Linked DNA regions of Oreochromis niloticus. The protein of the gene in region 1 purifies or fractionates together with the protein of each later gene. This does not show direct contact. Links are inferred from orthologs where the notes say so. Each region holds a gene or a part of one and is shown in the gene's direction. Other genes may lie near its edges.

Evidence for each region.
Region 2: the proteins of polr2j (region 1) and gpn2 purify together in Homo sapiens (affinity purification with mass spectrometry; 3 studies listed by BioGRID and IntAct, counting the BioPlex papers as one, with this or other methods). This does not show direct contact. The link is inferred for Oreochromis niloticus from reciprocal best matches to the Homo sapiens genes POLR2J and GPN2.
Region 3: the proteins of polr2j (region 1) and uxt purify together in Homo sapiens (affinity purification with mass spectrometry; 3 studies listed by BioGRID and IntAct, with this or other methods). This does not show direct contact. The link is inferred for Oreochromis niloticus from reciprocal best matches to the Homo sapiens genes POLR2J and UXT.
Region 4: the proteins of polr2j (region 1) and polr2m purify together in Homo sapiens (affinity purification with mass spectrometry; 3 studies listed by BioGRID and IntAct, counting the BioPlex papers as one, with this or other methods). This does not show direct contact. The link is inferred for Oreochromis niloticus from reciprocal best matches to the Homo sapiens genes POLR2J and POLR2M.

Annotation. Positions count from the first base shown.
Region 1 is NC_031970.2:1,173,940-1,180,096, forward strand, and holds polr2j (DNA-directed RNA polymerase II subunit RPB11-a), read left to right. Parts: upstream 1-3,830; 5' UTR 3,831-3,886; coding exon 3,887-4,029; intron 4,030-4,552; coding exon 4,553-4,661; intron 4,662-5,457; coding exon 5,458-5,559; 3' UTR 5,560-5,642; downstream 5,643-6,157. UniProt on the Homo sapiens protein: Core component of RNA polymerase II (Pol II), a DNA-dependent RNA polymerase which synthesizes mRNA precursors and many functional non-coding RNAs using the four ribonucleoside triphosphates as substrates.
Region 2 is NC_031976.2:7,480,792-7,488,654, reverse strand, and holds the start of gpn2 (GPN-loop GTPase 2), read left to right. Parts: upstream 1-4,841; 5' UTR 4,842-4,943; exon of another isoform or gene 4,944-5,214; 5' UTR 5,215-5,249; coding exon 5,250-5,669; intron 5,670-5,820; coding exon 5,821-5,977; intron 5,978-6,243; coding exon 6,244-6,404; intron 6,405-7,863. Other genes in the region: gpatch3 (G patch domain-containing protein 3), read left to right, coding at 1,469-1,929, 2,084-2,258, 3,476-3,535, 3,627-3,748, 3,838-3,965, 4,337-4,529. UniProt on the Homo sapiens protein: Small GTPase required for proper localization of RNA polymerase II and III (RNAPII and RNAPIII). May act at an RNAP assembly step prior to nuclear import.
Region 3 is NC_031984.2:4,340,679-4,348,682, forward strand, and holds the start of uxt (protein UXT), read left to right. Parts: upstream 1-4,980; 5' UTR 4,981-5,184; coding exon 5,185-5,282; intron 5,283-6,730; coding exon 6,731-6,812; intron 6,813-7,887; coding exon 7,888-7,955; intron 7,956-8,004. Other genes in the region: cdk20 (cyclin-dependent kinase 20), read right to left, coding at 1-114, 878-1,001, 1,611-1,673, 2,287-2,408, 2,688-2,876, 3,474-3,587, 3,735-3,809. UniProt on the Homo sapiens protein: Involved in gene transcription regulation. Acts in concert with the corepressor URI1 to regulate androgen receptor AR-mediated transcription. Together with URI1, associates with chromatin to the NKX3-1 promoter region.
Region 4 is NC_031965.2:22,183,075-22,189,942, reverse strand, and holds the start of polr2m (protein GRINL1A), read left to right. Parts: upstream 1-3,843; 5' UTR 3,844-4,067; coding exon 4,068-4,177; intron 4,178-5,732; coding exon 5,733-6,317; intron 6,318-6,473; coding exon 6,474-6,696; intron 6,697-6,868. Other genes in the region: myzap (myocardial zonula adherens protein), read left to right, coding at 36-636.

The DNA of each region.
Region 1 (6,157 bases):
ATATTAATGATGTGTCCCAGCTAGTGAAGGAAAAAGGTAATTTTCTTCCATATCCTGTGTTGTGAGGACCTGTGATGTTCCCATATCTGTGAGCGAACACAGTACAGTGTTTCATGATGACACAAATGGACCAAATATACAGACAGCACTGAATAAAGATGTTCTCAGAGATGCCATTAATATACTGGATAAAACATATATGATTCATTGTCCTATAACTCCTCACTGTGAGTTTTACTGGAACAGTAACTTTATGAATATTAATGAGTCATTGATATGGACTTACAATAAGAAGTATTTAATCACCAACAACGTCGAATAACAAACCAATTTATTAAAACTATAGAAATGATCTGGATGAATCTTGTACTGTAAAACTGTAAAACAGTCAGTGAAACAATTCTACATCTTTTTGAATGATGTATTTCATTTTTTAACACATACACTACATTTAATGTTTTCTTTTTATTTTCATTGTCTGTGAAGGTTCTCAGTCATCCAGGTCATAGTCTAAGGAGCTTGGAAAGAAAGCAGCAAGAAGGACACATATACAAACAAACAGTACACAAGACACAGAACAGAAACATACACAATTTTTACATATTTACATCAACGACAATGGTTACCAAAAACAGAGTACTGTACCGTTATTAAATTAAATAAAATGAAATACAGATAAGAGGCAAACCCTGGTTATAGTGTAAATCGGCTGATAAAATAGTGCAAGTTACAGCGCTGATGTAAACCTCTATGTTTGTTGGGAGCAGTTTTGGTTGTACAGTCTGACAGCTGCAGGGAGGAGGGACCTGCGGAAACACTCCTTCATGCATCGAGGATGCAGCAGTCTGTCAGTGAAGGAGCTCTGCAGTTCAGCAGCATTTACATGCATGGGGTGGGAGACTCTGTGCATCAGAGATGTTATTTTGGCCAGAGTCCTTCTGTCTCCCACCACCTGCACTGAGTCCAGGGTGCATCCCAGAACAGAGTTGGCCTTCCTGATGAGTTTATCCAACCTCTTCCTCTCAGCTGCCGATAAACTGTTGCTCCAACATACAACACTGTAAAAAATGACAGATGCCACCACAGAGTCATAGAAGGTCTTTAAAAGAAGCGCTCCTTGGACTCCCCTGTGGGGCCCCCGTACTGCTGACCAGCGTGTCAGAGACACAGACCTGTGACCTCACATACTGTGGACGTTCTGTGAGGTAGTCCAGTATCCACTGGGACATGTGGTGGTCCACTCCCGAAAGCTCCAGCTTGTCCCTCAGAAGTCGTGGCTGGATGGTGTTGAAAGCACTGGAGAAATCAAAGAACATGATCCTCACAGTGCTTCCAGGCTTCTCCAGGTGAGTCAGAGCTCGGTGAGGGAGGTAGATGATGGCGTCCTCCACCCCGATGCCAGGCTGGTAAGCAAACTGCAGTGGATCCAATGAAGACCTCACCAGGGGGCGCAGATGGTTCAGAACCAACCTCTCGAGGGCCTTCATCAGATGCGATGTCAGGGCTACCGGCCTGTAGCTGCTGAGGTCCTTGGGATGGGAGGTCTTTGGTACCGGTACCACACAAGATGTCTTCCACAGCTGTGGTACTTTCCCCAGTGACAGATTCAGGTTGAACAGATATCCTAGGATGCCACACAGTTCATCTGCGCAGCACCTCAGGAGCCTGGAGCTGATGCCATCTGGACCTGCAGCCTTCCGCACCTTGATCTTGCGAAGCTCGTTCCTCACTTGAAGTGCTGAGATAGAAAGAGTGGATTTTGGGGAGGGGGTGTATGTTGGAGTCCACAGAAGCCGGGGGTGGGTGTAATGACTGGGAGCTGGGAGGTGTGAAGCTGAGAGGTGTGAAGCTCTGAGATGAAGGACAGGCAGTCCCTGAAGATGAGGGAGATTGCAGCAGGGGGGACGATGCTGGGGGAGGGGTGGGTGGTTGATCAAACCTATTAAAATATTTATTTAGGTCAGCGGTCCCCAACCCCCGGGCCTCGGACCGGTACCGGGCCACGAGAGTTGAGGCTCAGGTGTGAAATGTATGGTTTTCAGGGTTTTTATCGGTTTTCAGCGTTATTCTGTTATCGTTTTTATTGTTAACTCGGTTTTCCTGGGTCTTTTCATGTGTGTTATGAATAAATCTTTTTTTCGGTACCGGTACTAGTTTTATTTTGTTGTATTTATCCGTGACACCTTAAAGGCCGGTCCGTGAAAATATTGTCGGGCATAAACCGGTCCGTGGCGCAAAAAAGGTTGGGGACCGCTGATTTAGGTCATTCACCCACCCCAAGTCTCCTGCAGCCTGGGGGGTTGGTTTTTGTCCTGAGATTGTCTTCAGGCTGTTCCAAACCCCTCTGATGTTGTCCTGTTGCAGCTGCTCTTCCATCTTCCTCCTGTAGTTTTCCTTTCCTTGCCTTATCTTCCATTTCAGCTTCTTCTGGACAACTCTCAGCTCCTGTTTGTCTCCAGATCTAAAGACTCTCTTCTTCTCCTTGAGGAGAGCCTTAATTTCAGGATTTATCCATGGCTTGTTTTTTGAAAAACACTGTACCTTTATGATGGGTACGGTGTTGTCCACACAGAAGTTCATGTAATCCGTAATGCAGTCTGTGATGCTGTTGAGGTCATCCTCCAGGGGGCTGCAGAGGTTGTCCCACACAGTAGAACGGAAACAGTCCCTCAGGGCCTCTTCAGTCTCTGCCGACCATTTCCTTACTGTGCGTTTCACAACTGGTTCTCTTTGTACTAGAGGTTTATACGCAGGCTGGAGATGAACCAGGTTGTGATCTGAGCCCCCCAGGGGAGGGAGAGGTGATGAGTTGTATGCCTCCTTGGTGTTGGCATACAATAAGTCCAATGTTTTATTGTCTCTGGTATGGCAGGTAACATACTGGATGAAGGTGGGGAGAGTGGAGGACAGGGAGATGTGATTAAAGTCCCCACAGATCAGGAAAAGGGCCTGAGGGTGCTGTGTTTGGAGTCTGCTGGTTACAGTGTGCAGGACCTCACAGGCTGCTCTTGAATACTGTTAGCTGTTCAATGGGCAGAAGACATGAAACCGTTAAAAGCAGTTATTTGTTCAGACTCAGGCTCGTCATTGGTCAGTTTACAGAGTAGCTGCTCAGAAAGCAGAGCACATGTCCTAGCAGAGATTCAGCAACACTTCACAGAATACACATGACGAGACTTACAGGTGTGTTTTTATGGATTCCAGCTCACTGTGAAGTCAGAGCAAATGAAATGGCAGATAGAGCTGCAAAGGAAGCCACAAAACATGGGGTAGTTGACCTGGGTATTAGCTTCTGTCAGACAGAGGTAAAGAGTATGGTAAGGCAAGAAACAAAAAAAAGATGGCAAAAACAGTGGGAGGAGGAAAAGAGGGGACGGTGGTTGGATAAAATCCAAAGGAGGGTAGGAGAAATGAGGAGCACAGAAAGGAGTAGGAAAGAGGAGGTGGCCATATCGAGAATAAGATTAGAACATACTGGTTTGAACACTACACTAGTCATGATAGGGAAACATAATACAGGGAATTGTGACGACTGTGGAGAAGAGGAAACGATAGAACATGTTATATTAGACTGTCAGAAGTATCAGGTGGAGAGAAGACAACTGACCCAAAACCTCAGCAATATGAAAATGAAACTAGTTCTTATTGATTTTCTGCAAAAGGACTCGAGAAGTGAAAGTTATCAGGCCTTATCCCAGTTTTTAAAAGAGAGTAAATTGCTTGGGAGCATTTGAGGGGTTTGGGGGGTTTTTTGAGCGACGTTCCAGTCCCCACTCCACACCAGTTGGAGGCGGTAATGCACCATTCAGTTGTTTGCCAACCGCCAATAAACCCTATACAGAAGAAGAAGAAGAAGAAGCAGCCGCAGCAGCAGTGAACAGGTAAGATGAACGCGCCTCCCGCTTTCGAGTCGTTCCTGCTGTTCGAAGGGGAGAAAAAGATCAGCATCAGCAAGGACACCAAAGTCCCGAACGCCTGCCTGTTCACCCTGAACAAGGAGGACCACACGCTGGGCAACATCATCCGAGCGTAAGGCCCCGAGACACGGCCGCAAAGGCATCACACCGCTACATCCAGGCTAACAACAGGCTAACCTCAGGCTAACAACAGCCCGCTAAAGTCATCCGAGCGTAAGGGTCCCAGACCCGGCTTCACAGCTGGCTAAGTTGAGGCTAACAGCCACACAAATGCTGAGCAGCGGCTCAGAGATAGATGCTAACACGCAGCCTGCAGGTGTTTCAATCTTACAGGTAGCGTAGGAGGTGTTTTACAGAAAACCAGAACATAGTCTTGGAATATTTGATCTCTACTTGCTTTTTGTTTTTTAATAAATCATGACATGCTGCTGATGGGAAACAGGTCTTAGTGTAAGCCACCACAGGTGGCTGTCCCAGTGCCTGATCATAAAATCAGCAAAGTTAATGAACTGATCCTCAAATATTCTTCCGTCAGACTGTCATGTGAGCTGCACACACACCATTCACACTAAACTGCTCATCCTTACAGTCTGTCCACCAATCAAATGACTTTCTCTGTGTGTGTGTGTGGTCAGTCAGCTGCTGAAGGACCCTCAGGTTCTGTTTGCTGGTTATAAAGTTCCTCATCCTCTGGAGCACAAGATCGTCATCAGAGTGCAGACCACACCTGACTACAGCCCACAGGTAACACGCACACACCTGTGGGATATTCCAGGAAGTATGTTCATCAGACTCTGAGTTTCCTGTTCCAGAAGGGTGATCAGTTAGTTCATTCAGCTCTGAGTGTGTTCCCACTGAGTTATGTGCATGCGTACCTATTACAGACGTCTCAGCTTCTACAGGATCAGGATATTTCAGGATAGTTTTGGAAGAATGACACATTTTAAATCAGGAATAGAGATCAGAGCAGAGCTGCAAACGGATCCAGACGGGATCAGCTGGGAAATGACCGAGCAGACCTGGATCTGGGATTGAGCCGATCTGAATCCGTGATCGAAAATCCATTTTGGATCCGTCCTGCCGTGCAAGTGGACTCGGTTTGCTGATCCGTCATGGAGCCCATGTTCTGGCTGATCTGGTTCTGGGTCGACCCGCAGAGGCTGATTCAGGTGATGTTCAGTGGAAAATCTGCCCAGGCTGTTTGACTTTAAATGACCGAACCTCAATCTGATTACATTTCAATGTGAAATGTAATCAGATTACAATCAGACTGTCTGCAGTGACTTTAAACACATTTAGTTCAGCTTTAGTTTTAAAGCCATCTCAGCCTGAACGTCACTCAAATAAGATCCATTTATCCATCAGAGTGATTGATTATAATAAGAGTGTTACCATGGTAACTGACCTTCTGGAACAGAAAACCCAAGTTTCCCTCATCTCAGGGTTAAACTAAACCTGTTTCCTGGAACACACTTCTGATTACAGCTCTTAGTTACAGGAAGTGAAATTAAATGACAGGAAATGATGTTGTTCCTGACAGGAAGCGTTCACGAACGCTATCACTGACCTGATCAGCGAGCTGTCACTGCTGGAGGAACGCTTCAGAGTCGCCATCAAAGACAAACAGGAAGGCATAGAGTGACCCCGCCCCATCGTGATGTCACTTCCAGTTACCTGTCCTCTGTTTGTCTTCTGTTTTTTTTAAATAAAGCCTGTGATGCCATATCCTGATGAGTGTGTGTGACATACCTGTAGCTCAGGCGGTGGCTGCTTGCAGCTGATTGAAGTTTAAAGTGCTGGTCAACATTTTCCTGTGTTTGTTTTAACAGATCATTAGACAGAACTTAGCACAAATTATTTGTTTGCAAACAATAATAGAGAGAAGAAATACTCTGATCATTATCACCCTTACAAAAACAGCTTTTTCTTCATCTACATCACAAACCTGCTGTGCAGTGACCTGATTACCTCAAAGCTTAAAGCTCCGGTTCAGTTTTTTTCATATATAAGTATATTTAGTTAGGAAAATGAAGAAAGGTTAATTGTATTTCGGTAAGTGCAAGTACTGTGTTGTTTTCTTTTTATTAATAAAAATATTTGCCAAAAAAAAAAAGCTCCTGTTCATACTGAGTTTACCAGTTTATAATTTATATTTGCGTTCCAGTTATGAAAATGATTCATTAAATATGTTTTCATAGAAAAAGTCCAACTCTTCCCACTTGGGTTTTATTTATTTACTT
Region 2 (7,863 bases), on another chromosome or scaffold:
TATTTATCTTATATTTGGGGAAATGCTTTTAAGTCAACAAAGCAAAACTGAATTTTAACAGATGTGGAGGATTATTAAAACGTATTACGACCAGGATGACTTCCTGGATCTGTCCTTGTAGCAGTGAAGCTGACATGGGTGAAGGTATATTTTGCTGTTAACTGTAAGGTAGAGGCAGTAGAATAACATCTGCCTCCATCTCCTATCCCTTGAAGAAGATGCAAAGGACAGGACTGAGATGAGCTGTGGTGACCCCCTAAGGAGAGCAGCTGAAAGAAGAAGACAGACATTAAAATGTTAAATTGGCTGGGTCTTATATACTATAACGTTTTTCTTTTACTTGAACACTCACTGTGCTTCATACAGCTCGTCTCCTTCACCCATTCATAGAAGCACTTTTTAAATTGCTTTCTGTCTAACACTGACACTCTGATGGATGAGAGAAACTTGGTTAGTTGCCGAAGCTGCTCAAAATACAACTCAATATTGTAACACTTCTCCAGTCTGCATGCCAGGGATCAAACCACCAAGCTTCTGATTAGTAGATGACCTGCTCTACCTCTTGAGTTATAGTCACCCCACAGTGTTGGAGAGAGATTCCAAATTTAGTGGAGAGAAGACAGGGAAGCTGGGACAAAGAGCATGGGCAAGACACACAGTAAATGGCCTTGGGGCAGATTTGAACTTAGGCCTCTCTTAGGCAATAGCGTTACGGCACACGGGTCTCCTATACTGGTGTCTGAAATAACTTGATTTTATTTGGAAGAGACCTCCAGCTGAATCAGGCTCAGGCTGGAGCATATAGACAACAAGCAGGACTAAAAAAAGGTTAAGATCATGCAGTAGTGGCATATTAAACATATGGGGAGTGAAAAGATGGGAAATGGAGACTATATGCTCAGTGCATCATGAGAAGCCTCAGCCCAGCACCTTGAGCCTGTAGCAAAAAACAATTATGACTATCTTGTTAACTATAAGCTTTATCAATAAGGAAAGTTTAAATCCTAACTTTCAACGTAGAAGAGGTGTCTGTCTCCTGGATCCACTGGGGAGGATCTGACAGCTAAAGGCTCTGACTCCCATTCTACTTTTGGAAACTCCACAAATCATAAGCCTGCTAAGAGTGCTACTGGGATGATATTAAACTTTAAGGTCTTTAAGATAAGATGGCGGCTTTGTATGTGAGGAAAAGGATTTAAAATTCAGTTCTGGTTTTAACAAGAAGCCAGTGAAGAGAAGCCAGTATGGGGAAAAATATGATCTCTCTTTGTGGTCCCTGTCTGCACTCTCGTTGCAGCGTTTTGTTTTGTTTTGGTTTTCACTGAAGGCTTTATGGGAAGTTTTTAGGAGAACCTGACAGTAAGGAATTACAATGACCCAGCCTAGAAGTAAGAGATGCATGAACTTTTCACATCATGTGGTTTTTGTCACTGTTTTTACATGTATTATTATTTTTTCTTTCTTTCAGATGACGGATCTTTCCCCTATAAAACAAAGTATGAACAGCGGCACCGTGTTTCCTTAACGGAGCGATTCACAGAGGCCGACCTCAGAAGCCTCTCCGAACTTAATCCACCTGCTCTGATGCAGAACGGGAATGTGGGCACACCCGTAAAAGTGTTTCTCCAGCTCATCCAAGCCTGCCGCCTGCCTCCACGCCTCATTCGGAAACTGGGGCTCACTTTCCCCAAGACGAGTTCCAACCGTCGCTATGGGAACGTGCCCTTCCAGTACCATGACACTTGCACACTTCCAGCCACAGAACAGACTGTATTAACAGCTGCTGGACATGAAATATCAGGACCAGGTACTTTGCCTGGTTCATCCTTAGGATCGAGGCAGCTGGATGATAACACAGAAACCACTGAGGCTGATGAAGCACAGAAAGAAGACGCAGAGGAAGAGGATGCACAGTCGAATGCTGATGATGTAGGTTCAGTTCATACCTATCAACCAGCTGTCTGTCAGCGTGTCGGATAAATGTATTGGTTTTAGTTTGTGTCGGCTGTCCAATAGGCGCAGCCTAACTAAAACCATCATCCCTTTATTGTAGATGCTAATTTCTTCATGTGATTGATTGTAGGATGATGACTGCTGTGAGGAGTGGGAACGCCACGAGGCTTTGCATGAGGATGTAACAAGCCAGGAGCGAACCAAAGAGAGACTGTTTGAAGAAGAGATTGAGCTGAAGTGGGAAAAAGGAGGCTCAGGTCTGGTGTTCTACACTGATGCTCAGTACTGGCAAGAGGAAGAAGGAGGTAGGCACCAAAAACACTAATTCACTTTGAAGAAAAAGGCTTGCATACTATATAATGTTAATAAACGAGCAATGGGGTGTGCAGGTTATTAAGCAAACTTTAGGTAAAATAGGTGTGGAAAGGCAAACTGAAAGTGTGTGTATGTGTTAATTAGTATAAGAAATCAATTCAGTCGAGATGCTGAAAACAAAATTCTGCCTTACAATAACATACATTAAAAGATAATTGCAAATATACTCACTGGCCGCTTTGTTAGATACACCTCTTCAGTAGCTTGCTAATTCAAAAATTCCATCAGCCAATCACATGCCAGCAACTGAATGAGTTTAGGCATGCGAACGTGGTCAGGACGACCTGCTGAAGCTTAAACCAAGCATCAGAATAGGGAAGAAAGATCGTTTAAGTAACTTGAAACATAGTTGTTGCTATCAGACAGGTTGGCCTGAGTATTTCAGAAACTGCTGATCTTCCGGTGTTTTTCGCACACAACCATCTGTCGGGTTTACAGAAAACGGTCCAAAAACAAGAAAATATAAAGTGAGCAGCAAATTGTGGGTGAAAATGCCTCATTTGGTGTCAGAGGAGAACAACCAGACAACAGTAGTTTAAATAATCACTTGTTACAAAAAGGGGGGGCAGAACAGCATCTCTGAACATGTTAAACCTTGAAGCAGATGGGCTGCAGCAGCAGATGTCCACACTGAGTGCCACTCCTGTCTGCTAAGAACAGGAAACTGATGTTCACAAAAGTTCAACAACTCTGGGCAAAAGAAGACTGGAAAAAAACTTTGGAAACATTGGAACATCAGAATTGGGAGTAACCAACATGAAAGCATGGATTCATCCTGCCTTGTGTCAACGGTTCAGGTTGCTGGGGTGTGGAATATTTTCTTAGCACACTTTGGGATTCTTCGTACCAACTGACCATCATTTAAATGTCACAGTCTACTTTTGTGTTGCTACTCACCATGTAGATCCATCTTTTTGACCACAGTGTACCCATTTCCAGCAGAATACAAGCCATGTGAAAACACTGAGATCATCATAAACTGGTTTCTTGAACATGACAATGAGTTCATTGTACTCAAATGGCAGTCACCAGATCTCAATTCAATAGAGGGATGTGGTGTAACCAGAGATTTACATCATGAACAAATAGCTAACAAAACAAAAGCGACTGTGTGATTACATTCATGTGTGTTTCTCTCGTTTTTCAGACTTTGATGAACAAACTGCCGATGACTGGGATGTTGACATGAGTGTTTACTATGATAAAGGTAACTTTTTTTTTTTTTTTTTTACCCTAATTAACTAAACTGTGCTCTATTAATGCAGGGTCAGATTTCCTTTAACCAAGTCCTTTTACAGATGGAGGTGACATGGATGCTCGAGATTACGTCACAATGCGGTATGAAAAGAGGCTTAGGGAGGGTCATGAAGATGGATCGGGGCACAATCAGTCTATTGGCCGCTTTGAGAGGTTCACTAAGGTGAGGAGGTTGCCATCACATATAACTTAATCTAATCTTTCCTCTTGTTACACGTCAGATAAATGCACATATATTTTTTCTCTGATTAGGGCTTTGGGCGTCGTGTGATGGAGAAACAGGGCTGGAGGGAAGGTGAAGGCCTGGGAAACAGCCAGATTGGAATTTCTGAAGCACTTGAAAATGAGGGGCAACATCCCAACTGTAAAAGAGGCTTTGGGTGAGCATGAGCACAATCAACTAAAGCTGCGTCTACGCTGGAAACAATTCCCTTTTCGACTTTGCTCTGCAGCTGACGGCAGGTCGCTTGTTCCAGGCTCAAGTGTCAATCAATACTGCTATTCTTCACTCTCATTGGTAGTTGTTTCGATCCTATGGAGGAAGTTAAAAGAAGTTAACATAAGTTTACATCCAACCCGCTTCCCATCGCCAGCAGTTATTTCGGCCTTAGTCACTTGAAACTGCAGGATGTCACTCACTTTGCTTCCAGTGTGGATGCTTAACAGCCACCTTCTAATATAATTTTAAGCTTTGGTATGTGAGGCAGGTGATGCTGATGCTGTGGGGGGTTTTTCCTTTTCTTTTTTGCAGGTATCATGGAGAGAAATTGGTCTTACATCCTGTAAAAAAGGCCAGAACAGATTATCATATAACTACAGTGTATGATAAACCCAAAGACATAGACAGAGGCGATACCTTGCTGAGACGGCAGCCGAACACAAGTATGAAGTACAGAGGGTGGCAACCAGGTGGCAGCATTGGCCCACAAAGATCACAAAGATGACTTTAATAAAATTTTATTGAAACCATTTTAACGTCATGGAAGTCTTTTTTTTTTTTTTTAAACACACACCTATATCTGTATCTATAGATATATATATGTATATGTTAAAATCCTTTTTTTCATGTGATTAGTGTCTCTAATTTTTAATCTCACACAAAGTCTAGTTTTCCTATATTAACTTATATACATGTGTATAAATTGTACCAAGCTATTAATCACGGAATAATGTGGTGTGTGAGCAAGGATGAGATGATTTAGAAAAAAATGTAGTCTGAAATTAGTCCTGCACGTCACGCCATGTTAACAACCGGCTTTTATTTTGACACGCCAGTTACGTAACTCGGATGTACTTCCGAGTAGCGTTAGCATGTGTTAGCGACTTCTATACGCATGTAAATATAGCGTCAGCAAACGGTAAATATCAGTCAGTATTGCTGTAATTTACAGTAAAAGTCAGCATTATATTAAGCAACTGCACATATGTTTTGAGTAGACTTACGATTTATCGTACATAAACCTTTAAATAGCTACTTTGTACAAGTCTTGTCTGACCGGAGTGGATGGCAGGTCCAGGTTTATTTAGTGTTTAATGAGTTTTTAATGTAGTTGGTGGAAGAAAAACTGAACTCTTGATACCAAATCCTGTGACCCTGCCAGCCAACACCCCATTTGGTACTCTGCACAGGACATCCTAGCACCATCTAATGCGAGTCTGAAGCCATGTCCAAGCAGACACAAGTGAAGCCCTCCCTGCGTTTCGGTCAGGTGGTTATTGGGCCCCCGGGTTCGGGGAAAACCACCTACTGCCAAGGGATGCAAGAGTTTCTGACTCACCTGGGACGCAAGGTGGTGGTTGTAAACATGGATCCAGCCAATGAAGGGATACCTTATTCATGTGCGGTAGATGTCTCAGAGCTGGTGACTTTGGACGATGTCATGGAAGGTTTAAAGCTGGGGCCCAATGGTGGACTTCTCTACTGCATGGAGTACGTGGAAGCAAATCTGGACTGGTTGGAGGAGAAGCTGAAACAGTACAGTGACTGTTACTTCTTGTTTGACTGTCCTGGACAGGTGGAGCTCTACACCCACCAGAGCTCAGTGAAGAATATCTTCTCACAGCTGGCCAAGTGGAATTTCAGGGTGAGCTTCATCATTATTATCGTATTTCTGCTGAGCCTTCACAGGTACTACCTTACCCACACAGCCATCATGTAGACACAGCTTTAATACAACAAGGTGAATTCATAATAACATCATAAGATAAATTTTGTGCGGATGTCCTCTCTTTTAGCTCACAGCGGTGCACCTCGTGGACTCTCATTACTGTGCTGATCCAGCCAAGTTCATTTCGGTGCTGTGCACCTCGCTGTCTACAATGCTGCATGTCGAGCTTCCCCATGTCAATGTTCTCTCCAAGATGGACTTGATGGAGCAGTATGGCAAGCTGGGTGAGTTAATAAGGGTTTGCTTTAAACACATTTTACAGGCTGTAGTCAGAGATTATCTGATTTGTGCTGGATAAATGTTCTAAGACAGTGAGATTAAGACATTAAAGGTGTTTTTACAAATCACATTTCTTTGTTTCCCTTGTAAGAAAGTAGGATGAAAGAAAAAAAACTATACCGGCATTGTTTGCCAGCTGATTTGTTGAATTTCACAACTGGTTGCTATTCATCATCATCCTTGGTAACATTTGTCTTGTATTCTTTTCCAGCCTTCAACCTTGACTTCTACACAGAGGTCATGGACCTGACCTATCTTCTCGATCACTTGGCTGCAGACCCCTTCTTTAAAAAATTCCGCCACCTAAATGAAAAGTTGGCAGAGGTCGTACAAGATTACAGCCTTGTGTCCTTTGTCCCTCTCAATGTACAGGTACCAGTGCTGCTTTTGGTATTAACTGCAAAAGAAGAGCTGGTAATGTCTGTTTAACTCCCAGTAAATTAGAATATGCTTCGGTGAATTAAATAAATAAAATAAGCTGCTTTCACACATGAAGTTCTGGCAGTTTTGGGAGAATCTAGTGGGGATAATTTCCACAGTTATCCTTTCTCACAGTCTCAGTCTGCTTCAGATGTGCTGGCCTGCCTTATTCACACATGCCAACATCACACGGGCTTTGCACTGGGGAGTTTGTTGGTTAAAGACCAGTGGAATGTGTAATACATTGCTCTAATGTTGAGTGACTAACAGTATCCAACATTTCCTACACTTATATCGAGAACTGACACCACAAGATTTCAGTTTGGGGGTGGCACTGTCGCCTCACAGCAAAAGGGCTCCTGGTTCCAACCTGACGGCCAGCTGGAGCCTTTCAGTGTGCAGTTTGCATGTTCTCTCTGTGCTCGTGTGGGCTCTCTCCGGGTACTCCAGCATCCTCCCACAGTCCAAAGACCTACACGTTAGGTTAAACTGGCTATATAGTGTGAGTGATTGTCTATCTCTGTGTCAGGGACTGGGGACCTGTCCGGGATGTACCCCATCCAGCGATAGCTGGGATACGTGCCAGCCCTGACACAACCCTGAATTGGATTAGCGGTTAAGAAAGTGTGTGGATGGATGGGTTCAGTTTGTGTGGACCACTAAAAGGTCTAGAGAGTACGCATAAAAAACAAATGCCATGTCTTGACAGTGAACTCGACAGATTTTCATTGTTATCACTTAATTAATGTATCTACATCTTTATTTGCATGCTTCTGTTAGATGTTGAGTGCAAAACAAGAGTTCTTTCTTCTGAAGTAGTCATAAAGCATCCATACTGACCAGACGTCATGGTTCATTTGTGTTAGCCCTTTAAGTGTTTCTAAAAGTCACATGCCTCATATTTCATTGTTTGAACCGTTAAATCATAAATCGCTTTTAGCGTTTCAAATTGAAGGTTGGATCAATTTTGTGCAGATGGATTGGGGGAGAGGGCTGTCTGCACTCTGCACTCGTTGCCTGACATCGCTTCTTTATAGAGAGTGATTTGATCCTGTGTGTTCATGGAGACAGGAGTCTAGACCATGTGCCATCACTGCATGTGGCACCAGTGAGTTATACATGAGGCGGGTTGGCACTCATGCTTTGTACATGCTCTTAGTTTAAGCAGCCATTAGTTACCTTGGTTACCCACTTATGGTGCCTAAAGCAGCCAAAAATAAAAGAGCTTTCGACTTTGAGAAAGAGAGAAATGCAAAGCTGCAAAGTGTTAGAGGTCAGCGAAGTTTGAGGATTTATTGCTTTGCATGTGCGTGCTGCTTATGTCATTATGACACCTTATAACACACAAAGAAGAATCTGAGAAATGTGTGCTTACACATTTTCAAAAAGGCTTTGTCATCCTCTTTCTAAA
Region 3 (8,004 bases), on another chromosome or scaffold:
CTTATAGAGCAGGTCCACTGCCTGAGGGGGCATGTCAGGGACGATTTCCTCCAATGGGATTGCTGGATTCTCCTTAAAGGTGATTTTATTGTAATCTGGCAACTCCACTATCTCCTGGAGACAGACAGGAGAGGGATTAAAATGTTTTAACCAGTTTCACAGCCATAGAAGAAAAAAACAAGACAAAATTAAACTTCGCAGAGTGAATTATTTTACCTTAGCCTTCAGATAAAATCTCACACAGACCACAAAGATGTCGCCAGACTTCAAACAGTTGTAGGTTTTTAGAGTAAACACACACAGTTTCTTTTATCAGTTTGGTTTGGAGTGCCACAAGGATCAGTTTTAGGTCCGATTTAATTTCTCTACATATTCATCATCATTTACTGCTAGTCTAAAAACATTTAAACATTTTAAATAAAGCTAAACGGAGGCCAACCAATATTTCAGGCAGATGATTGCAGGCCTATCACATATAATAATATACTGATGATGATTATGATGTTGACTATGCACTGAAAAACATTATTTTAAAAAATAACACATTGCGTCTTTTTAGCACATTTAAAGTTAATGAACGTGGATGTGGGCGGACATTTATATGCACTATGTCCAAAGATGAAAGAGTAAACACTACCACAGTGTGAATACACTGAGTGAATACATGTGGAAATTAGGCAGTGTTCCAGTTTATTTTACATCCTCATTGTGTTTACATTTTCACGATATGTCTTTTATATAAAAGACAGAATGTGTGAGATGATACTTTGATATAAAGCTTAATACTTAACCTAATACAAAAAAAGATCGAGAAGAAAATGAATGTATATTAATGTAACGTCCCCTGAAGTGATGGAAAAACCAGTGTGTATCTTACAGGCCAGCTGTCCTGAGTCGGGGTTCCCAGCACTCTGAGGACACAGCAGAGCTGCTCGATGTCGTTCTCTCCAGGAAACAGAGGAGACGAGTTCAACAGCTCCCCAAAAATACAGCCGACCGCCCTGAAACACACACACAAGCGCACACACGGACTAAACAGTAAGCCATGACTTCAGACTGCTGCTGCCCCCTGCTGTTCATCTCTGATCACTGGACCAATTTACACCTGAGCAGGAACTGTGAACACTAACAGAGTTAGCGTGTACTGAAGCTACAAGCTTACTCTTTCTTATTATATGGTCCCATGTTACATAGTATGTTAAAGAGTAATATATAATAAAATATGCTGATACAGGAAAAGAATACAAGCAGGCACAACAGAAACAAAAGCATCTAGGTTTATTGAGTAAAAGCTAATCAGCAGAGGATTCACAGTAGATAATCAAATCAAATTTATTTGTACAGCACATTTAAAGACCAAAGTGCTTTCCAGTAAAACCATGATACAGATAAAATCACAATATAAAATATAAATTACAGATATAAAATAATGACATAATATAAATGCAGAGCCAGATGAAAATCACACTAATTAGCCTCGAATGCCAGGTTAAACAAGTACTATGTAACGTAAATGTATATAATGTAATGTAAGCTATAATGATCGAACAACAGCAAAAAAATAATAGTGTGGGCGCTACTTTTAGCAGCGTTTTCAGGGTTGTACTCACCACAGGTCGACTCCCTCGTCGTACTTTCGGGCTCCGTACAGCAGCTCAGGGGCTCTGTACCATCTAAACACACACAGTGGTCAAATGTAGCTCAGTGCATTTACTGCACATTACTGATAAAGTATCAGTAATATCCAGTTGAAAGTGGTGATTATTTTAGAATGAACTGAACCAACAAGTCACATGACATGGCGACTTTAACATGATTATTATTTACTGGTGTAATGAGCACCTCAAATCTGAATATGTGAATCTGTTCTGTGACACATTTGTTCACCAGTTGAGCTTTAAAGCAAGTCTGAGTGAATATTTAAAGTATCAACTGACTGCATTTTCCATGTCACCACATGGATTTTTCCCAGCAGCACTAAAGCTAATGCTGTGCTTGTGCTTACTTTATAGAGCCATTTTCTGTATTACATTCAGCCATTCAGATACTGCATTACTGCATTTTATATACAAAAGTACTTACTTTTAGGTTCATTATATTGCATTTAAATTTTCACTTGAGATCTTTCATTTTACTGTCATTTTTCTATTTAAATGAGCATTTTGCTCTTCGTGTTTTTTACCTCACTGAGTTCTTTTGGTAAGTCATACTGTATTTTATTTTGATTAGCTAAAGCTACCTGCTAAATAAAGTATTTCTTATTTAATCTCATCTTATCCTATTTACCTGGTGGCCACCTGGTGGCTGTACAGCCTCTCTCCCTGCTCGCTGAACAGCCGGGCCAGACCAAAGTCTGCAATCTTCAGGTGGCCTGAGGAGCTGATGAGCAGGTTTGCTGGTTTCAGGTCCTGCAAACACACAAACGTCATTTTATAATTGGTTTGATTTATTTTGTTAAAGAAAAGAAACCCGAACACCACCTTCTCACCTCCTCCTGCAACACCTCAGACTGCAGCAACTATTCAGTTTTTTAGCATTTCCCATATTTTCAGCTTTTCATTTATTATGAATAACCAACAGTATTTAAATAACCTTGTATGCTTAAGTGTTGCTTGTTACAAACACAGGATTCACTGAGAAAACAGTCAGATGACTCATTAATGATAATAACTGTTAGCTGCGCTCACCCGGTGCATGACATTGTTGTGATGCAGGAAGGCCACGCCCTTCAGCAACATCATCATGTAACTTTTGACCTGCGCAGGGGTCAGAGGGCGCTGGGAATTCCTTATGACCTCAGAGAGGTCAGACAGCATGAAGTCGAACACCAGGACGAAGCCCGTGCCGTGAGGAAAGACGTCCTTCAGCTTCACCACCTGAGGAGAAAGTCACAGAAAGAAGTCCTGCATCCCTTCAGACTCCAGACACTCTGCAGCTTCTTATAATTTTCTCATATAGCCTAATCTCCTTTTTATTAACATGTCTGTTATGCTTGGCTCTTTTCTTGCTGCTCTGCTTTGATCGTCTATGTTTTCCATGTACTAATTTTTGGTTTCTGTTATATTTTGTTTGTGACATCCCCCCAGCCACCAGGGGAGCTGGAGCATATCCCAGCTACCATAGGGCAAGAGGCAGGGTACACCCTGGACAGGTGGGCAGTCTGTTGCAGGGCTAACACATAGAGACATACAACTATTTGTACTCACATTCACACCTATGGGCAATTTAGAATAACCAATTAACCTAACCCCACTAACTGCATGTCTCTGGACTGTGGGAGGAAGCCAGTGTACCCGGAGAGAACCCAGGGAGAACACGCAAACTCCACACAGAAGGGAGTCGAACTCATACTCAGGACCTTCTTGCTGTGAGGCAGCAGTGCTACCCACCGCACCACCGTGCTGCTAAACACTAATCAAATTTTAAGATTAAAATGACTCTTATCTGTAAAAACTGTCTGCACATTCACTCACATGCTCGTTGTCCTTGATCTCCTGCAGTGCTTTAATCTCCCTTAGAGCCTGGTTCGGAATGCCGTCTTCCAGCCTCCTCAGAGCCACTTTCTTCAGAGCCACCGTCTCCCCTGTCTGACACACAAGAACATTTCCATGTCACATATCTAAGCCGCTGAGGTTAGACCCCAAATTTAATGCTGATCGGATTACAAAAAAAAGAAAAAAAGAAAAAAAAAAGAAATGAAGTAAGATGCAGACATAAAAGCACCAGTCCGTCACCTCAATATGTTTGGCCTTGAAGACTATGCCATGAGCTCCTTCTCCTGTCCGACCCAGAATGTTATACTGCTCCATGTTTTCATGAGCGTTTAAAACAGCTTCAGTTAATCTGGATTTAATCTGGTCACAACTCTCACTGATGTTTTTGTTAATTCAAAGAGTGTGTGGTTTGAAGTAAACCCCCAATGATATACAAATCAGCTCCTTGGAACAGCAAACCAGAGAGAGGAACGCAAACCTCGAACTTCACTCAAAAATTAAGCCGTTCACGATGCTGCGCACGATTGCTCAATAAGATACAGTTATTAAACTATTATTTTAAGCCCAGTAAAACTTTAAACCGTTAACTTAAATTCGGCTTATATTACATATGCAACAACAAACAGCTGTAAAGAAAAGTCTCTCAGAAAATAAATCCTGACCACGGGAAGCGAGACAGCTAGCTGTTGGCTAACGTTGCCTTGGCAACGTCTTAACTCAGATAACCCAGCTAAAATTTTAAAACCTGTTACTGTTTAACTTCTGCTGCCGGCTTGACACGCACGCTTGTTAAGAAAGAAACTACAAAAACGACGATATTTAATTTTTTTAATACGCATTTTCATTCAGGACGTTTTAATAATTGTTTCGTGTTACAGTAGCTAGCTACAGAGCCGCCCGTGGTCTGCCATGTTTGTTTACAGTGACGTCATGAGACAGGACCTCCATAGAGCCAGAGCAGGTAGAAAGCATTAACCAGAATCAACGTTTTATTTTGTTTTATTTTATTTTTGATTCTTTTTTTGTTCTTGTTTGCTGTTTCATTTTTTAACGTACAAACTTAACAATTTGACTTGAACATTTGATTCGATTAATGATTAAAAAGCAATTTAGTTTATTTTTTGGTTTATAAAGCAAGTCTTTTGAACTGCATAGAGATGTACTTGATGTGTCTAAAATTTATAATCTGCTCAGGAAAATGCTTCAAATTTCCCTGACCGACAGACAGACTTTTCTGAATCCAATTGGGAAATGTTTGTTTTACAGCAGCAGGATAAAGAATAAAAATAATTCACTCCGTACTGGTATTCTACATAACGAAAAAGGCCTTCTATTCTACTATATTAAAAAATAAAGTAAGAAATTTTTTTTAGAGTTTCCGAGTTTATGCTATCATTAATTGACAAGCTTTTGCAGCGTTGCTGTCGTTTCGTCTTTTCTGTTTTCACTAAATCTATTCTTTGGGTTCATTTTGAAACCCGGAAGTACTTGTTCACACTTTCTTCTCATCCGGTGTAGAGTGGCGTGTTTACGTCCTGTCTTAGGCATGCTAGCCGGAGAGTTTGGTGTGCAGAAACATTAAAGTTTACGACAGAGAGATCGGGCAGTTCGCAGCTGGACTTTATCCGCAGCTCAACCGAATGTTTTTTCTGTTATTTGTAGCTTCTTTTAAAGAGAAGACAGTGAAGAAATGTCTGCTCCCGACAATGCCACAGCTAGACCTAACGTGGACCAGAAGGTCCTGCAGTATGAAACCTTCATCAACGAAGTCCTGAAGAGAGACTTACAGTAAGAAGACACTACAGCTGATGTCTGAACACAGTTTATTATGTCCTTACAGAGAGCTTTATTCAGTTACAGAACTTTAAAAACTAAAGTAAAAGAAATGTAATCTGTAGTTAAAGTAGTGCAAAATACTTGTGTAGATATGAGTTTATGAACTCAGATTTTTATCCAGGCAGACTTTGAACAGGTAGTAGAGGCGATATGAAGGTCAATGAGGAGTGACTACAAATTAAAGTCATTTAAAGCTTAATTAACAGCCTAATAAAGGTCAAGTCTCACAGCTGCTGATTGTATAATAGTGCTGGTGTCATTTTGGTCCCCCTCCGTGCCTTAATTACTTGCAGACTGATTATTAAATATTTACACTCACAAGTTGCTTTTTTAGGAATACCTGCTCAACCCAAATATCTTATCAGCGATTCATGTAGCAGCAACTCAATTCATTTAGGCATGTAGACGTTGTCAAGACAGCCTTTGCGTGCAATGTGTTTTTAATACAGTGGGATTGTTATACATGTCACTGCTGTGCCAGCACTGCAACAACTGGGGCAACAAACCAGACAGAACTGGAGCGTTTTGACCACACTAAGAGGAAACCTCTTACTGCTTCACATTCTGCAGCCAGTACTGCAGAGCAGAGCTCAGCATGAGCTAACAGAGTGCGAAGCACATCCAGGGACACAAGCTGTTTAGGAAAACTGTGGAGTACACTTGGCAATTGGGTCAACAAGCTCCTTCACAGCTCCATTAGAAGCAGCCTCAGACCATCTTATTTAAAGTGGATCAGTTTTGTTAATTTACAGCTTTATATTGTTTTTCTTGAACACTATGACACTAGAGTAGCTTTGCATGATTCATAGTTCAAAATAATTCTTTTTTGCCTATGACATGACTGGTTTAGCTCCCCAGACAGCGGGTGGGTGGGCTATAATAGGGATATCTCCTCTCAATGACATCATACAGATTCAAGACTTGAAAAAGTATTTAGAGCAATCTAAGGCGTTAGCCTTTGGTTCACATGGGTTACTTGTACATGCACAGACCCGACTGGTTGTGTTTAATGTGAACACTGACAATTTTATTAGGGTGTAAGAAAAGAAATACAGAAATTACTTTGTACAGTTACAGAACAAAATGGTGCAAAAATCTAAAAACTACACCTAAGAAGGAGCTCAGTTATATAGAAAGGATACAATAATGAGCTTGAATCTATTATAAGTACACATGTGTGATGGATAAGAAGGGTAGATCTAATCTTACAGGTATTTATGTGGTTCTTCAGGTTGGCATCTGAGTGTTCAGTGACACAGACTAAAGAGTTCAGGTGTCTGAAATGCTGTTTGGTGCTTTGAATCAGATTTTCTTGGCGTGTTTAGGCTGTTTGAATTATTTTGGTGCATCTGAAGGCGTTAATGTTCTCTGTAAATCAAGTGACGGCTGTCGTTTGGCAGGAAGGTGGTGGAGCAGAGGGATCAGGTTTATGAGAAGATCTCTCAGTACCTGCAGCTGAAGAACACCATACAGAGTCTGCAGGTAAACGCACACAAAATGTACTGTGTTATTTTGAAGATCTGTAGGTTTTTCAGTTTAGAAAAGAAGAGATTTCCACATCAAACTGGAGATCGTTGTAGTGTTTGTGCTGGCTGTCATTCTCTGTTAATGTTAAATGCTTCTGTCTGCTGGTTAATGAGCTGCAGACTGAGCTCTGCCAATACAGACATCTCTCTCTGTAGCTTCTCTGTGTGAGCTGTTTCTGTAATTCAGCACACTCTTCTGTGAGGAAAGATGGTGGAGCTTATCGGACCTCCATCAATACAGCTGAGCCTCACTGCAGCTGTTTATCCAGCAGATCAATACATGTGGCTCATTAGGCCGAGAGCTGTGAACCCAAACCTCCATCGTCTGGATCAAAGAGCCTGAAACTACAGCTGGAAAATCAAAACATTCAGACATTTTACCTCCACTTTTCAGATATTTAAAAAAATAATTTTTTATTTGTTTTTATTTTATTTAGAGGATGGACGTTTTTATTTTAGTTTTCAGATATTTTTTTAAATCACTCTCATAATCATTGATGTCTGTGTAGGTTTTCAGTCATCCAGGTCATGGTAATCTAAGGAGCTTGGAAAGAAAAGCGACTCGACTTCTTTAAGTTTCTTGAAGACGTTTCATCCAAGAAGCTTCTTCAGTTCTAAAACTAAACGGTGAAGAGTCCCAGGTCTTTAAGTCCTAGTGGGAGTTGTCCCATAAGAGGGTCGTTGACCCGACTATTAATCATGTGCCCCATCACACACCTTGGCTCATGTGATTTAATACTTTGAACTGTCCAACATTTGGTCTTAGAACTGAAGAATCTTTCCGGATGAAACGTCTTCAGTCACTTTTCTTTCCGAGCTTCTTACATATTCACTGATATATTTTTCTGTGGAAACCCCGCCAAACAAGCCAAACTCATTCAGTCTCTTTTCTAACTGTCATGTCATGAACGTTAACCTCTAACATGCTGTCTGAGGCCTGTAGACACTGAGATGGAGTATTTTTTTCTCTGAGCTTGGGCCGCCTGTTCCACGAGTGAATGAAAGTCACACGCTTCTTTGTGTTCCTGCAGGAGGCGGGCTCTCAGCAGCTGAAGACAGACGTTGATCTTGGCTGTAACTTCTACGTTCAGGCTGAAGTGTGAGTTGCTGACACACGAAGGTCACCAGCAGCTGTTCTGCATTCGAAC
Region 4 (6,868 bases), on another chromosome or scaffold:
TTTTCTCACTCTGGTTTCTGACTGTGCTTCTGCAGACATGAAGCACAGAGGTTTGATGTTGAGCCTGTTCAGTGTGAACCAACTCATCTCTATCCCATCCAACCCCCATCACCTGATCATCCTCTATCACCTGTGAAACTCCCATCACCCACTGAACTACTGTCACCCACACAGCCTTTATCACCCACTCATCCTCTATCACTTAGACCAAACCCTTCCTCCATAGCGCCCTCATCCCTGGCACAACCCTCATCATCACCTCCCATTCAACATCCATCGCTCTCCCTAACACTGCCCACTCAGCCAAGGACGTTTAAGCTTAATAACCCTCCCCCCAGCAGGCTAGAGTCAAGTTTACTAAGGTACACTCCTGTCCAGTACAGCCGCTTCCTGGATTCCAACCCCACACAGGAGCGTGGGACATTCTCCTACATCCACCCATCTGAGTCTGAAGCTGGTGTCAGTCCGGTCCAGCCTGGAGGAGACGAGCTGGACGCACAAACAAGCAGAGGCACATGCTCCATACCAGAGGAGTCCACTTCATCCCCACCTTCTTCTCGACCACGATCAGGAGTGCGAGTTTATACACCGTTCATGAAACTAATGGAAATGACAGCAAAGATAAACATAGAGTAAAGTTAAAGGAGCAGTCCTGGAAAATACATGAGCCCAGACTTAATCAAGGAGAGTCAATGAAACTATGAAGCCATTTAGCTTAGTATAATTACTGAAAACAGGGTAAACAAGTAACGCACAAACTTCTTTTTATAAGCAATAAAAACAGCCTGAAAACGGGAAATTAGAGTAAAAACAACATTTTATCAAACTGGGAGAGGAAAAAAACCTGGAAATGAATAGAAACTCATGGAAGTCATTGTCCCCAGTTACGAACTAGTTTGATCCAGATTCCCTGTCAGATGGTGGCTTCGTTTCCATGTGGATGACAACACGAGTTAACAGTTTAATTACTTTTCTTTAAACTTGTTGACAGATGGATTTTATTTTCTCTTTCCTCTATTTTTTTGTATCAGTGCTAAGTACAGAGCTAATCTGTATATCAACAGTAAATATGTAGCTAAAGCTAAATAATAGTATCCTCTAACTCAGTCTATGTGTGCTGAGAAAGAGACAAGCGTATTAAAAAACTGGTTGGAGTAGTGCAGTAGTAACATCTTTTATTATTCTCTTACTTGACCTTAACGTTTGCATACTATACTACCATAAAATTTTTGACAGCAAATTGTAAAAAATAACAGTCTTAAAAACAAATTTTGATAATGTAATATGATAACATTACTCTGTGTTGGTATAACATAGAGTAACATTAACTTTAGGATTAAAAGTGAAAACGCAGTGACGTAAAGTCAGGTAAGCCATTAAAACATCAGCTAGTGTGCTTCAAGAATACCACTGACTCACTATGCAAGAAATAATAGTATGTAAATAAACTACGTGGACAGAACTACCAACCTAGCTGCACATTACTCACGTTTTGATATCCCCGTGTTGATGATGTCCCTATATCATCATAATAATGGTGATCCAGCATCAACATTACACCTGACCAATGACAAAGGAGCATTTAGTTAGCCGAGCATTAGCTTAGAATTTGGCTAATGCCTAGCTAATGCTTGTTAATGCCAGTTAGCTAACAGCCAACCTAACTTGATAATGTATTTATTACATTGCATAACTTTATAAAGAAAATATTTAATAAAACACAAAGTGATTGGTCAGTTGCAATGTTGATCCTGGACCAACATTATTATGATAATGCAGGGACAACAGGAACACTGGGATAACAGACACAACACACAGCACACCTACAGGAGCTGCTCTGCCATGTAAACCCATGCAACAGTAGCATTAAAGTGTGCTCTTTGGAACAACCAATTCTTTGTACATGCAGACTGCCTGGCCAGGTATTTGACTTTATACACCTGAATTCAAGTATTAATAAGAATGGCCCAATATTTATGTCCATGTAGTGAATATAAGAGGGTTACTTATGCAATCAGAGCCGTTAATCTTAACTAGACCAAAGTGTGGAATTTTCCCCTTAAACTTCGATTGTCTTTGGTCTAATTTTCACAAATATCCCTTTAAAAATGTACTAACACAAGAATCTGTTTTACATAATTTTAAAGCTGGCACATCCATGTCAGTAATATCTCACTTATTTATGTCGGAGATAATGATTTTTGGCCAGTGAAGCAAAAAAGTCTTATGTGGGTTTCTGTCCCATGTTTGCACATAGCTCTAATAATAACAAAAGTAGCTTGCTGTAGGATGTAAATGATGTGATGCTATGTAAAAAATATTTTTCTAACTGATATAATATGGAATATATTTCTTCCGTTTACAGTGAATCTGTTCTATTCATGTTGCTCACTGAGCTATGAGCATTCAGTCCTATATGAAGGTCGATATGGTTATTGTGTGTATTTTCCTATCATTTTATATGTGCTCTGTACAAATTAAACATATGATATTTTGTTACTGTTGATAATATAATATTTATTATTATGGTTTGTGCCTTTGTGACAACCTACTCTGTGGTCCTGGTGGTGGAAGGAAAGCTATTTTAATTGGAAGCAGGGTAATATGGCAAAATAGGACGTGGCAAATTCTTGAGAAATCTGTTATTAACGATATTAACTTTAATAAGGTGACTGCCGTTCCTGAGCCACTGGCACAAGTGTTATCCAGGTGTCATCTGTACTGCCACAGCTGTGTTTGAAATAGTTTTATGATGTGCCTTTTCCTCGTTGATACATATAATACTGCGATTAACGATGAGAGGCCAGCATCTGTTTGGATAATAAAGACTGTGCAAATGATCCTGAATGTGTCACAAGATGGCTGCACTTACAAGAAAGAGTCTTTTAAAATCGGTTTGTATTTCTTTTATTTAGTCACACACTTTTATATAAACATGCATGAATGGCATGAATGTGTGTCTACAGTGTAATTCTAGGGCTTTTTATGATTGCATGTGCACATATCTTTAAATTATCAATTTGTAGTTGCTGCAAGTTATTCACTGCATAATGAGCTGTGCATTGAGTAATCAAAATGAGCCATGATATTTGCCCACACCAGTCATGATCAGGAATGTGGAGCTGATATAACAAGAGCTACAACAAAAGAATAATTTACAGGTTAGTGCTATGAAGGGCTGAAAGAAGTAAAAAAAAATCTTTGATTTTCAGCTGAGATGTCCGTGCATCCATATGTGTGAAACTGCATGAGGACAGCAAGACTTTGGTGACAGAGAGAAGCTGAGGGATGAAGAAGAAATTAAACATTTTGGAGGATTAGGGCAGGACTAAAATAATAAAACTTAATGCTTACTTTGATTACAACTGATTAATAAGGATAAGCGTGAAAAAAGAAGCATTTCTCTTTTTGACAGTATCTGGGATACTTGAGAAATAGGTCTTGGAATAATACATTCTGGAAAAATGGGAAACTTTAAACTTTGACTTAGAGTCTGAACTCTAAAGGTAAAGTCAGAGACTTTGTTCCAACTGTACAGCTGCAACCAAAACTGACTTTGAACTTTGACACAGGCTGGAGAGGACACAGCTGTGTTTGGGTCATTCATTGTCAGTTGAGCTGAGTGAGAAGTGGATCGGAAAACATCCGGACAGGAAATGCAGCTGTGGAAAATCTGAGACACCAGCCCAGTCCAGACTCTGTACTAATCGCACTGCTAAGAGAGAAAGCTCTTGCATCCAGGCTGGTTACCACGTTTGACCGGCAGAGGGCAGCAAATAAGCCTCACAGTCTTTACAGGGAAGAGGTGTGTTACCGTGTCCCGTTCAGTGGGGGCGATAGAGGGCTATTTTTTTCACACAGGAAGAAGAAGAAGGGTCCCACTTTGAAATGTTGTGTCATGTGTTGAAGAAGTGAATTAGTCACTTAAGGAGTTTTCTGAAGCTCTCTAATAATAAAGGAATCAATCAACCGGTAGATTTACCGTAAACCTTCGTGTTTACGGTGAAGTTTAAAGCGGGCTCGTGCTGTTGTGGATGGCTGTAGCTAGCTTACTTTAGCTAACAGTGATGTCCTCGTCGTGGACAGAGCGCCAGGGAGAGGTGGGAGACCTGGGACACCTGAGTAAAGAAGAACTACAGGAACTGCTACTCCGACAAGAAAGGATACTCAGTAACAAGTAAGTTTAATCCTTAGGTTGTATGAGAGAAACGTGACACTTATGCGCACGGCCATCCCGTTAGCTTTGATCCGGTTTGATAAAGTGACTTCTCTGTGTTCAGGAATATGCACTGAAACTAAGACAGAGGATCTACTGACAACGTGTTTATATCAGTCCACTTTGGCTCAGGTGAAAATATGAAATGCTTTTGTAAAAAACGATGCACAGGCGACACTACTCTGCTGTAACACGGGGTAAAAAACAAAACAAACACACACCACTCTCGGTCACTTTGTTAGGTACACCTGTAAAACTCGTTGTCAAGGTATCACGTGACAGCAACACGGTGCATTTTGGCCTGTAGACATGGTCAACAGCACCTGCTGAAGTTCGGTTTACAGATAATGATCCAAAAAAGATAAAATATCCAGTAAGCGACAGTTCACTGGGTGAAAATGTCTTATTGTTGCCAGAGAAGAATGGCCAGTGTATTTTGAGCTGATAGGAAGGAAAATAACTACTCCTGACAACCAAGGTATGCAGAAGAACATCTCTGAAGGCGCAAATGTCCAACCTTCAAGCAGACAGGCTACAACAGCAGAAGACCACACTGGGTGACACTCTTATTAACTAAGAACAGAAAATTGAGACTTTACTTAGTACAGGCTTATTAATAAAAGACTGGAAACATGCTGTCTTGTCTGTAAAATTTCAGTTTCTGCTGCGATCAGACATTGGCTTAAACATGAAAGCCTGGATGCATCCTGCTTTGTATGAACAGTTAAGGGAGCTAGTTGTGGAAACAATAATGATGATAATGTTAGGGACATTTTCATGACACACTTTAGGCACCTTAGCACCAGTTGAGCATCATTTAAACTCTGTAGCCTACCAGGGTATTGTCGGTGACCATTTCCATACTTTTATGACCCATCTTCTGATGGCTGTTTCTTGTAGAATAATACATCATGTCATGGAGCTCAAATCATTTCAAAGTGGTTTCTTGAACATGACAGTAAGCTCACTGTACTCAAATGGCCCCACAGCAAGTTTGTGTTATAGTTAACTAAAACTAGATGTAAAAAAACCGAAACATTTTATTTAACTAAAATAAAAATGTGGGGCTGTTTTCTAAACACGGGTGCAGTCATTTCAGAATAAGGTGCAAAAAAAATTTTTTTTTTCAGATCTAAATATGTAGTTTGTAGTAAAACACATGTTGCTGGCGTTGGTAAATCAGATTTTATGCTTTATTTAAATTTTCTACTCCCTATATTTCACACCTTGACAAAGAAACTCTTTTTTAAATACTTTTTTTAAATGCCAAAACCCAGTTGTGCTGGTGCAACATGCTGGTAAATCTGGCTTTAGATCATCATCACTGCATTAGTATCAGCTTTGACTGCCATTATCAACAATTAAGAGGAAAACATGGCATGTAAGACTTTTTCTTATTTGGGGTCAGGGAGGGGTTACAGACGTGTATGTGTCTGACATTTAGTGTGGCTCTGGTTGTGTATCGAAATATTGTTTGTAGAATATTTTTGCAATGATACGTTTGTGTTGTTTGCAGGAGGTTATTGCAGACTCTACCTGACAAAGGGAAAAAGATAAAAGACTTTGCAGATAAAGTGCGTCTTGCCATTGATGATCACAGTGAGGAGGAGAGGAGACGAAGCCTAGTGTCTGTTGCGAGGACAGAGTTACAGTCCAAGTACCAGCAGGCTTTTGCTCACCGGCGTGCTGCCTCCATCACACCAGCAGCCTCACATCAAAACAGGCAAAATGAGGCTGCTGCACAGGAGAGCGAGACCTCACCTGCCTCAGCGCAAGTGCAACAAAACCACACTTTGGACGAGCAACGAGAGTCGTTTGTCTCCGGAGCGACTGCTGTGGAAACCATGGAAACGGCAGCTCGTGGGGCCTCTGTGAACTCTGATGAAACAAAAGAGGGTGACCTTGTGGAGGCCCTGGAAAGGGTCACGGTGTCTGGAACTACTACTGGTGGCAGCAGCGAATCCAAAGAGCCATTAAACAGCAGTGCAAGAGACAATTACTTTCTCAGAAAGCAACCACCAAAGAAGCCTCACTATATAACTGTCCTGGAAAAAACAGAGAAGTCTGCAGCTCCCAGGAAGCAAAAATTTAAACCAAATCAGTGAGTGGACTTTATTTACTACTTCCTGAACATTTCCAACAAAAATGCTCCAATAATCCAGATTTTATTCAGTAAGACGTTTGACATAGTTCTGCCTTTTTGTCCTCTGTGTAAGTTAGCTGAGTGTAAATAATATGCACCTTAATGTGTTTCCAGGCTGCCTCATAGAAGTGACGTCTCTCCATCAGGATCCTCGTCACCCAGTCAGTCCTCCGAAGGCTCATCGCCACTGTCTGCGCAAGCCAGGAGGGAGCGGGACAGAAAACACCTGGATGACATCACTGCTGCCAAACTCCCCCCTCTCCATCACAATCCAGCCCAGCTCCTATCTCTGGAGGAGTCAGCCGCACTGCTGAAGGAGCAAACCAAGAAACAGCTGGTTAGTGAGGCCGAGTGCCTTTCTAAGGAGGCTAAACAGGCTGGGTGGAAACAGCCAGTGCCTCACTAGATCACTTAGCAATATGGTTCAACCAAAGCTGTTCTGAATGTCTCCTTTTATACAAGAAATACATTTTTAATACACATAAGTTATATGTAATATTTGGTAAAAG